Macaca fascicularis: one gene and its partner. The protein of the gene in region 1 binds, or shares a complex with, the protein of each later gene. Links are inferred from orthologs where the notes say so. Each region holds a gene or a part of one and is shown in the gene's direction. Other genes may lie near its edges.

Region 1 (4,477 bases):
TGTTCCTATCATTTTCTTTAAGGTGTGAAATATATAATTACATATTATTTTAATTAACTTTGAATCTGTTATAACTTTTTTATCATTTCTAATTTTCTATGTTTGTACCCTTTCTATCTTTTTAATTAAAATTCCATTGATTAGACTACTATATGAATATTTATAAAACCAACTATTGATCTTTTAATTTTATCATTTGCGTTATGTGTATTCTAACTTATTAATTTCTGCTTGTGTATGGCTGTTACTTTATTACCTATTATCTTTTGTTTTCTGTAGTTATTGTTTCTTACCCAAAGTCTTGGGTTAAATGTTCAGTTCCTTCACTTTCATTCTTTTTATCGAGTGAAAGGAGATAACACTATGACTTTATCTTTGAGCACAACTTTGGCTAAATAAAATACACACTCTTAAGAGGCTTGTGTCTAATCTGTAACTATGGTTACTCTCTATTTTTTGATAAAAAGATCATTGATTTTTTTCTTTTTTAAAAATGTCCCATTGGATTTTATTTAATCTATTATTAATTGCACTTTGGCCATTAAGTAGATATGCATAATTTCTGCTTTTAAAATTTATTGAGATTAATCCACAAATATTTGAAAAGAAGGTTTATTCCCTATTTTGGGGTACAAAGGTCATTCTTAGCTATTAAAACATTGTTGTTGATTATTTTAAAATACTCTGTATCCCCGTTTTTGTCTTTACTCAATCTATTAAAAGGATTTAAAATGTGATTAATAAGGTTCTTTTAATACATATACAATGGACTTTGTACTCTACAAATAGTGGTATGAGTATGGCATCTTTTGTTTTCCAAAAGTAATGCTGATTTTACTTATATATATATATCACATTGGACTTTTAAATTGAAGTTTGACAGGAGTTCAGTTTTTACATGAACTTTTTCTCATTTGTGTCCTAATATTTTCATTTTTCATCTTCTTTCATGATTTTTTCTTCTGTTTGTAAACTGACAGTAAATGTGTATAAAAGTTCAGCTCTAGACAATCCTGATGTCAAGTGTAATTACATGAAAATATTTTATTTGATAATTTCCATGATTTATGTCAGGTCATAGATAACATGATTCAGTATAAATGGCACCAGACCAAGATCTGCATTTAGCTCAGGGAAAAAAAAAACAAAAACCTATTTCCTCTCTCTGACTCTCATCTTTAAAATTCTATTATTCTACAAGCTGGATTTACTTACAATTAGACCTTACTGAACTTTATAGATATATAACCAGGGAGAACCTGATACATAAATATATTCTTAACATGAAATTTATTTTACTGATTGCTTAAATACAAAAAAAAAAAGTTGCTTCTTAAAGGTTTGAAAATGAATAATTATTGTTTACTTACAGCATTCCCACCAATGACGTCCTCAAAGCCAAGTGTGGACATTCCAAATTTGCCTTCCTCCTCCTCTTCTTCCTTCTCTGTCTCACCTACATACTCCATGACTGTAATAATCTCCATCATGTCCAGCTTTGCAATATTTGCGCTTCTTACCATCACTACTCTCTATTGCTGCCGAAGAAGAAAACAATGGAAAAATAAGAAAAGGTGAGATTCTAGTTTCAGCTAACCACGTGTAGTAATATTTTAAAACCTCATGTTTAATATGGAGTTGGTATGACGCGAGGAATATATATGACACTGCAACTCTCTAAATATATCCGTAGCCCTGCTTTAAAATTAAGCACCCCCATCACGATCTTTACAAATGTCAATGACTTTTTGGCATAGGATCAAATCAAATGCCCTAGGGTTACTGTTTCACAAAAGGTAAAATCTAAACAAGAATTTGGAGGAAAATGGCTATTCCTGCTCCTTGTCTTCTCTCTCAGGCCAATTGCCATTGCTGGCTTGGAGAGCTAAACATTTCTGAGAAAATGTGCCTTTTGACTCTAGACCACAAACAGAATATTTTATTGCTCTCAAACCGAAGGATCTTTGGCTGCCTAAGTATAATTTGTTTTCTTTACTCTTAAATGCCATATTTCTTAGAATCTAAGTCTAAGTACAAAGATCGTACCTACCTCTGAGCTCATTCCTGATCTTGCCTGTCTTGCCTGCAGAGAATCAGCAGCAGTAACCCTCACCACACTGCCTTCTGAGCTCTTACTAGATAGACTTCATCCCAACCCCATGTACCAGAGGATGCCGCTCCTTCTGAACCCCAAATTGCTCAGCCTGGAGTATCCAAGAAATAACATTGAATATGTGAGAGACATTGGAGAGGGAGCGTTTGGAAGGGTGTTTCAAGCAAGGTAAAGTTATGTTTGGAAAAACAGTCTCCATTGAAATATGTTATGTCTGAAAAGCTACCAAACTATTAGCTTGGTATATATATAATATTAGCTTTATATATATATATATATATTATATATACTGTGTATATATTTTTTTATATATATATATAATATTAGCCATTGGTACTCAGGGCATAATCACTGGGTCTACACTCAGACTAAGAAGTCATAGATGGGCGTCTCTTGTAACCTCCAATTTTGCAAGTGTCCTATTTCAAATGGCTTTAGGCATCTACTGCCATAAAGGTTTTATTTTGACTTTGTAATATGTTATATTAATATATCCCCTTATATTAAATCATTATAATTATATTAAATCATCATAATATATGTAATATATATTATATATATACACACACGTATATATCAAGCTAATGATATAGTACATATATGTATAATGTGTGTGTATACACACACATATACACATACACACATACATATATACACACACAGTGTAATATACAGTATTATATAGTATTCATATACTATATAAAAAGTTTTTATCAAATTAGTTAATTCTGGCCAGGTGTGGTGGCTCATGCCTGTAATCCCAGCACTTTGGGAGGCTGAGGCGGGAGGATCACCTTAGTCAAGAGTTCAAGACCAGCCTGGCCAACATGGCAAAACCCTGTCTCTACTAAAAATACAAAATTTAGCCAGGCATGGTGGTGAACACCTGTAATCCCAGCTACTCGGGAGCCTGAGGCAGAAGAATTGCTTGAACCCGGAAGGCAGAGGTTGCAGTGAGTCAAGATTGTGCCACTGCACTCCAGCATGGGTGACAGAGCAAGACTCTGTCCCCCGCAAAAAAAAAAAAAAAGACTAGTTAATTATTTACATCATTACATCATTAACCTTATTTGTATTACATAATACACTTCAAATCTTAATTTCTCCTCTTTGCTGGAAAATAGTAGTATATATGGAGATAATATATTTTTTTGCATTTAAAGTAAGTAATTTATGGGAGATGTAAATGTATCTTCACTTCTACAGTTTTCAAATAAGAAATTAGTAATACAGTTCAATAATATTTCCTTTTCAGGAAAGAATTTATCATATATTTTTAATCATAATTTCTTACATTGTTTTAAATAATAACTCCTTACATTATAATATAATGTGTAGATATTAAGTAGATGTTCATGAAATGACAAACAGAAAAGGAATAAAAAGGCAAAAATTTATAAAACAATGAGCTCAAGAAAGGAGTATGTATTAGGGCCAATATTAGCCTATTTATCACCTTTGCGTGAACTGGAATAAAATACCCTCTCTGCTGCATGGATGTGGCTCTACAGACACACAGCTGAGCCAGAGAATATGAATTTGGTTTTAATCTTCAACTGTCACTTTGGCCTGGTGCTCTTGGGGAAGACACAACTTAATCTCCACTCATGGTGGCCCTGGCATAGAGGTTACATACATAATGAAAATCTCACACAAATATGTATTGGAAACCAAAATTTGCAAGGCACCACTTTAGGCTCAATGGAGGGTACAAAGATGCACTTTAGGCTCAATGGAGGGTACAAAGATGAGTAAGCCATGGTTCCTACATCATGGAATTTAGATTCTGGACAAAGATTAAAAGGTTAAGATATAGCTGGGCACAGTGGCTCACACCTGTAATCCCAGCACTTTGGGAGGCCAAGGTGGGCGGATCACGAGGTCAGGAGATCGAGACTATCCTGGCTAACATGGAGAAACCCCATCTCTACTGAAAATACAAAAAATTAGCTGGGCATGGTGGCAGGCGCCTGTAGTCTCAGCTATTCGGGAGGCTGAGGCAGGAGAATGGCGTGAACCCAGGATGTGGAGCTTTCAGTGAGCCAAGATTGCGCCACTGCACTCCAGCCTGGGGGACAGAGCGAGACTCCATCTCAAAAAAAAAAAAAAAAAAAAAAAAAGGTTAGGATGGCAATGATAATCCCATTGGGGGTGTATACTTTAGAATTCCTATAATTTGTAAATAATGCATCTTTCAAACTTCATTGTTTGAAATTATTGAAAATAACACCAGTGATTTTTATTAGTTGACATCAAGGAGTTTCAAGTATGTTTTCTTTGATCCTATGGCTCTGGGAAAGGCTGCACGAGCCTTTTACACATGGGAAGTGGGAGGATATGTATAAATGTGGTTAGGTATAATGG
Region 2 (4,477 bases), on another chromosome or scaffold:
CCCGCTCTCTCCTGCTCCCCGCTCTCTCCTGCTCCCCGCTCTCTCCTGCTCCCCTCAGGCGGTTCCCAGGGAACAGAGGCCGTGCCAGGGAAGCAGCACTGGGTAGAGGATGCTGGGGAGGGTCGGCCTGGGACAGCCACTAGACAGGATAGGCCCCACCGCGGCAGCAAGCGGGCCAGCCCCAGGCAGGGTCATTGCTGACAGCTGGAGGGAGTTGGGCTGACCAGAAGTCCCAGACCCCACTCCACAGGATGTCCTTGTCAGAGTCAGCTGGGAGCTCTCAGAAAGCTCTGCTGTCAGGGCCTCGGCCTGCAGCTGTGCCTCCCAGCTGTGCCTCCCAGCTGTGCCTCTGCAGGTGTGTGGGGGCCTCAGGCCACCTGGAGGTGCTGGTGGAGCTGGGACACTATGCTGGGCAGCACCCCGCCGGAGGAGCCGTGGGCCCAGCCCCTGCAGGCTGGAGTCATGGGAAGGTCTGGGCTGGTGGGGTCGTCTGCCCAGGCTGGCAAAACACTGGCGCCCTGTGATCACAGGGCTCCCACGACAAAGCCCTGCGGGCAGCATCCTCATGCTCTGGGCTTTTTTTTTTTTTTTTTTTTTGTTTGTTTGTTTGTTTGAGACGGAGTCTCGCTTTGTCACCCAGGCTGGAGTGCAGTGGCCGGATCTCAGCTCACTGCAAGCTCCGCCTCCCGGGTTTACGCCATTCTCCTGCCTCAGCCTCCCGAGTAGCTGGGACTACAGGCGCCCGCCACCTCGCCCGGCTAGTTTTTTGTATTTTTAGTAGAGACGGGGTTTCACCATATTAGCCAGGATGGTCTCGATCTCCTGACCTCATGATCCGCCCGTCTCGGCCTCCCAAAGTGCTGGGATTACAGGCTTGAGCCACCGCGCCCGGCCTGCTCTGGGCTTTTTGCCATCCTCCTGTGCTGAGTCTGCTGTGACCCACCGGAGGGGCCGAGAGATGCAGGAGGTCCAGCCCCTTGGTCTTCTGCACGTGGACACCAAGGCCCAGAGGCAGCCAGACCAGCCAGCAGCAGGAGGGAAGGGCTCAGAGGCCCGGTGTCCGCCACGCTCCGAGCACAGCGTGCATGTTACCTTCTTGGCCCAGCCTCCACGGGGGTGCACCGTTGCTGCACCCTTTTGCAGATGAGGTTGAGAGGCTCAGGGGGTGCATGGTGGAGCTGGGAGTCGATCTGTGTCTTGCCCACCAGCTACTGGATGGGAAACGGTGGGAGGTTGTGTCCTGTGTCCTGACCCTGGTGTCACCGAGGGCCGCTCTTCATCCCAACTGCAGGGCACTGGCTTTGTGGGGGGCCCTGGTCGGAACACCCGAGGGCTGAGGGACAGCGGTGCTGTCCTGTCACTGTGCTTGTCTTCAGCCTGGACCCTCAGCACACCAAGGAGCCAAGACTGGCGCCTGCTGTCCTGCCCACGCGGCAGAATGTGTCGGTGAAAGCGCCAGGAGCTGCCAAGCCGAGTGGCCTGTGGGCTCCATGGCCACCAGCAGCCTGTGTTGGGAGGGACTGGGGCCTGAGCTGGCACAGCCTTGGCTGCCATTGCCTTCCACCCTCCCAGGCACAGGTAGGGAGGGGACAGCAGAGAGGCTTGTACTGGCCCCATCCCTGTCCCTGGCAATGCTACAGATGGGGCCACAGGGTCATGGGCTGGCAGGGCCCCAGGCTGACCCGGGCAGTGCCTTGGGACGGCCATACCCGGAGGCTGGGGGAGGCTCCTCCAGGTCCTTCTTGCGTTCCTGGGCCGGGTGCTGTGAGCTCTCGCCTGCCCATGGGGAGAGCCCTGTTCTGAGGTCCTGATGGGGCCTCCTGTTGTGCTCAAGGGCCCCAGCTGGGCGCCTGAAGGTGTCAGCAGAGGACAGTGTCTTATCAGGGATGGGGCCTCTTCAGCCTAGATGTGAACCCGGACAGGGACACCATTGCTTTCTGTTTGTTTCTCCGGAACCCTGACTACGGGGTCAGGATGTCCGGCTCCAACCTCCGCCAGGCTCGGTTCTGTCCACCGAGGCTCTGATCCAGGTGTCCCAGGCTGGGGACTGTACCTTCCAGTCCTCTGTGCTGCAGGATTTGGTGTAAACTTTCCATGCTGCCACTGCTCCTGGATTTTGGGGAGAGCAGGTCCTTGGGCCTGTTTCGGCTCAGTCCTGCAGGTGCCCCCAAGGTGGGTGGCAGGAGGTGTGTCCTGGAGGCCCAGAGGAGGCCACCTGGAGCAGGACGGGGTCGGTTTGCTCTTGTGCTTGTAGCTGTGGCTTCCCTGCCAGGGAACCTCTTTGGGGCGGCTGTGGCCGTGGGTGCTATGGATGTGGAAGGGGCGGGGTCTTGAGCCCTGCTGTTTGGAGCACGGCAGCCACTCAGCCTAGTGCCCACATCACTTAGTGCCCGGGACATCCCAGCACGGGCGGGGGGCTTGGGGACCAGGGCGGTGATGCTGAGGCTCGGGACAGCGGTGCCGAGGGGCCAGTGAGAAGGGAGGTTTCCTGCCACTCAGTCCCAGAGGACCCAGAGGACACAGGGACGATGACCAGAGAGGGTGGGGCTGCTGCTCCCTGGATGCAGCCCTGAGGGAGGGGCTGGGTGGGGCCGAGGGTCCGCAGACCACTGTGCTCTGAGCCTCAGGCACAGTATGAGGCTCCATCCAAGGCCCCAGGGAATGGGACCACCACAAGGTGGGCGGGCATTTCCCCAGGCAGAGAGGAGCCTGTGAGAAATGGGCACTGTGAATCAGGGGCAGGCAGCCCCTCTTGCAGTGAGACTGGCCCTGGGGATGGGGGAGGGGCTGGCCATTTTTGGAACAAAAAATTGAAAACCTCCGTGGCGAGGAAGAGGGGTCTGGCGTGGGGTCCTGGTGAGTGGACAGGTGGCAGGGCCATCCATGGGTGCAGGGACCCAGCAGGGCGGATGGTGGCCTGGATAGGGGTGGTGTGGGTGCAGCATTTGAGGCCCAGCATCTGGGCTGAGGCATGGGGAGAAGCAGGGACTCCCAGGGGATTGCCACTCCACGGAGGGGGCCACCACCGCGTCAGGCTGGGCCTGGTGCCTGCGGGCAAGGGTGGGCGGTGGGGGCCACTTCCTCCACTGAATCTTCTCTCTGCTGCAGACCCAAGTCCCCCGGGACCCTCGACTGTGGAGGAGCGCGTGGCCCAGGAAGCCTTGGAAACCCTGCAGCTGGAGAAGCGGCTGAGCCTCCTCTCGCATGCAGGCCGGCCGGGCAGTGGAGGTGGGGCCAGGGGCTGGCCTGGGCTGTGGGACTTCAGCTAAGTCTCCAGTGGGAGAGCTCAGGAGGCTTCCATGCATGTGTGGGGGCTGCTGGCTCCCTCTGCTCATTCATTCCTTCCTTCCCCCCCACCCACTCATTCATCCTTCCTTCCCCCCCACCCACTCATTCATCCTTCCTTCCCCCCCACCCACTCATTCATCCTTCCTTCCCCCCCACCCACTCATTCATCCTTCCTTCCCCCCCACCCACTCATTCATCCTTCCTTCCCCCCCACCCACTCATTCATCCTTCCTTCCCCCCCAGTCATCCTTCCTTCCCCCCCAGTCATCCTTCCTTCCCCCACATTCATCCTTCCTTCCCCCACAGTCATCCTTCCTTCCCCCACAGTCATCCTTCCTTCCCCCACAGTCATCCTTCCTTCCCCCACAGTCATCCTTCCTTCCCCCACAGTCATCCTTCCTTCCCCCACATTCATCCTTCCTTCCCCCCATTCATCCTTCCTTCCCCCCCATTCATCCTTCCTTCCCCCCCATTCATCCTTCCTTCCCCCCCATTCATCCTTCCTTCCCCCCCATTCATCCTTCCTTCCCCCCATTCATTCCTTCCTTCTCCTCCTGCTCCTTCCTTCCTTCTTCCTCCTGCTCCTTCCTTCCTTCTTCCTCCTGCTCCTTTCTTCCTTCCTTCCCCGCCTGCTCATTCCTTCCTTCCTTCCCCCCCTGCTCATTCCTTCCTTCCTTCCCCCCCTGCTCATTCCTTCCTTCCTTCTCGCACCGCTCATTCCTTCCTTCCTTCTCCCCCTGCTCATTCATTCCTTCCTTCTCCCCCTGCTCATTCATTCCTTCCTTCCCCCGCCCACTGCTCATTCATTCCTTCATTTCCCTCCTGCTCATTCATTCCTTCATTTCCCTCCTGCTCATTCATTCATTCCTTCCCCGCCTGCTCATCCATTCATTCCTTCTCCCCCTGCTCATTAATTCCTTCTCCACCTGCTCATTCATTCCTTCCTTCTCCCCCTGCTCTTCATTCCTTCATTTCCCTCCTGCTCATTCATTCCTTCATTCTCTGCCTACTCATTCATTTCTTCATGTCCCTCTTGCTCATTCATTCCTTCATTCTCCCCCCTGCTCATTCATTCCTTCATTTCCCTCTTGCTCATTCATTCTTTCTTTCTCCTTCCTGCTCATTCCTTCTTTCCGTCTCCCACCTATTCATTCCTTCCCTCCTTCTTCCCCTGCTCAGCTCATTCCTT

Evidence for each region. The genes of interacting proteins can lie anywhere in the genome.
Region 2: the proteins of MUSK (region 1) and DOK7 are in contact, whole or in part, in a crystal structure (PDB 3ML4), measured with the Mus musculus proteins. The link is inferred for Macaca fascicularis from reciprocal best matches to the Homo sapiens genes MUSK and DOK7. Residues at the interface, in NP_035074.2 of Mus musculus: Leu547, His548, Pro549, Asn550, Pro551, Met552, Tyr553, Gln554, Arg555; in NP_001335203.1 of Mus musculus: Leu154, Ser155, Asp156, Leu157, Arg158, Arg159, Tyr160, Gly161, Gly172, Thr173, Arg174, Ser193, Asp197, Val200, Arg201.

Annotation. Positions count from the first base shown.
Region 1 is NC_088389.1:47,325,458-47,329,934, reverse strand, and holds part of MUSK (muscle, skeletal receptor tyrosine-protein kinase), read left to right. Parts: intron 1-1,372; coding exon 1,373-1,574; intron 1,575-2,089; coding exon 2,090-2,281; intron 2,282-4,477.
Region 2 is NC_088379.1:3,716,455-3,720,931, forward strand, and holds part of DOK7 (protein Dok-7), read left to right. Parts: intron 1-1,376; coding exon of another isoform or gene 1,377-1,578; intron 1,579-3,108; coding exon 3,109-3,228; intron 3,229-4,477. UniProt on the Homo sapiens protein: Probable muscle-intrinsic activator of MUSK that plays an essential role in neuromuscular synaptogenesis. Acts in aneural activation of MUSK and subsequent acetylcholine receptor (AchR) clustering in myotubes. Induces autophosphorylation of MUSK.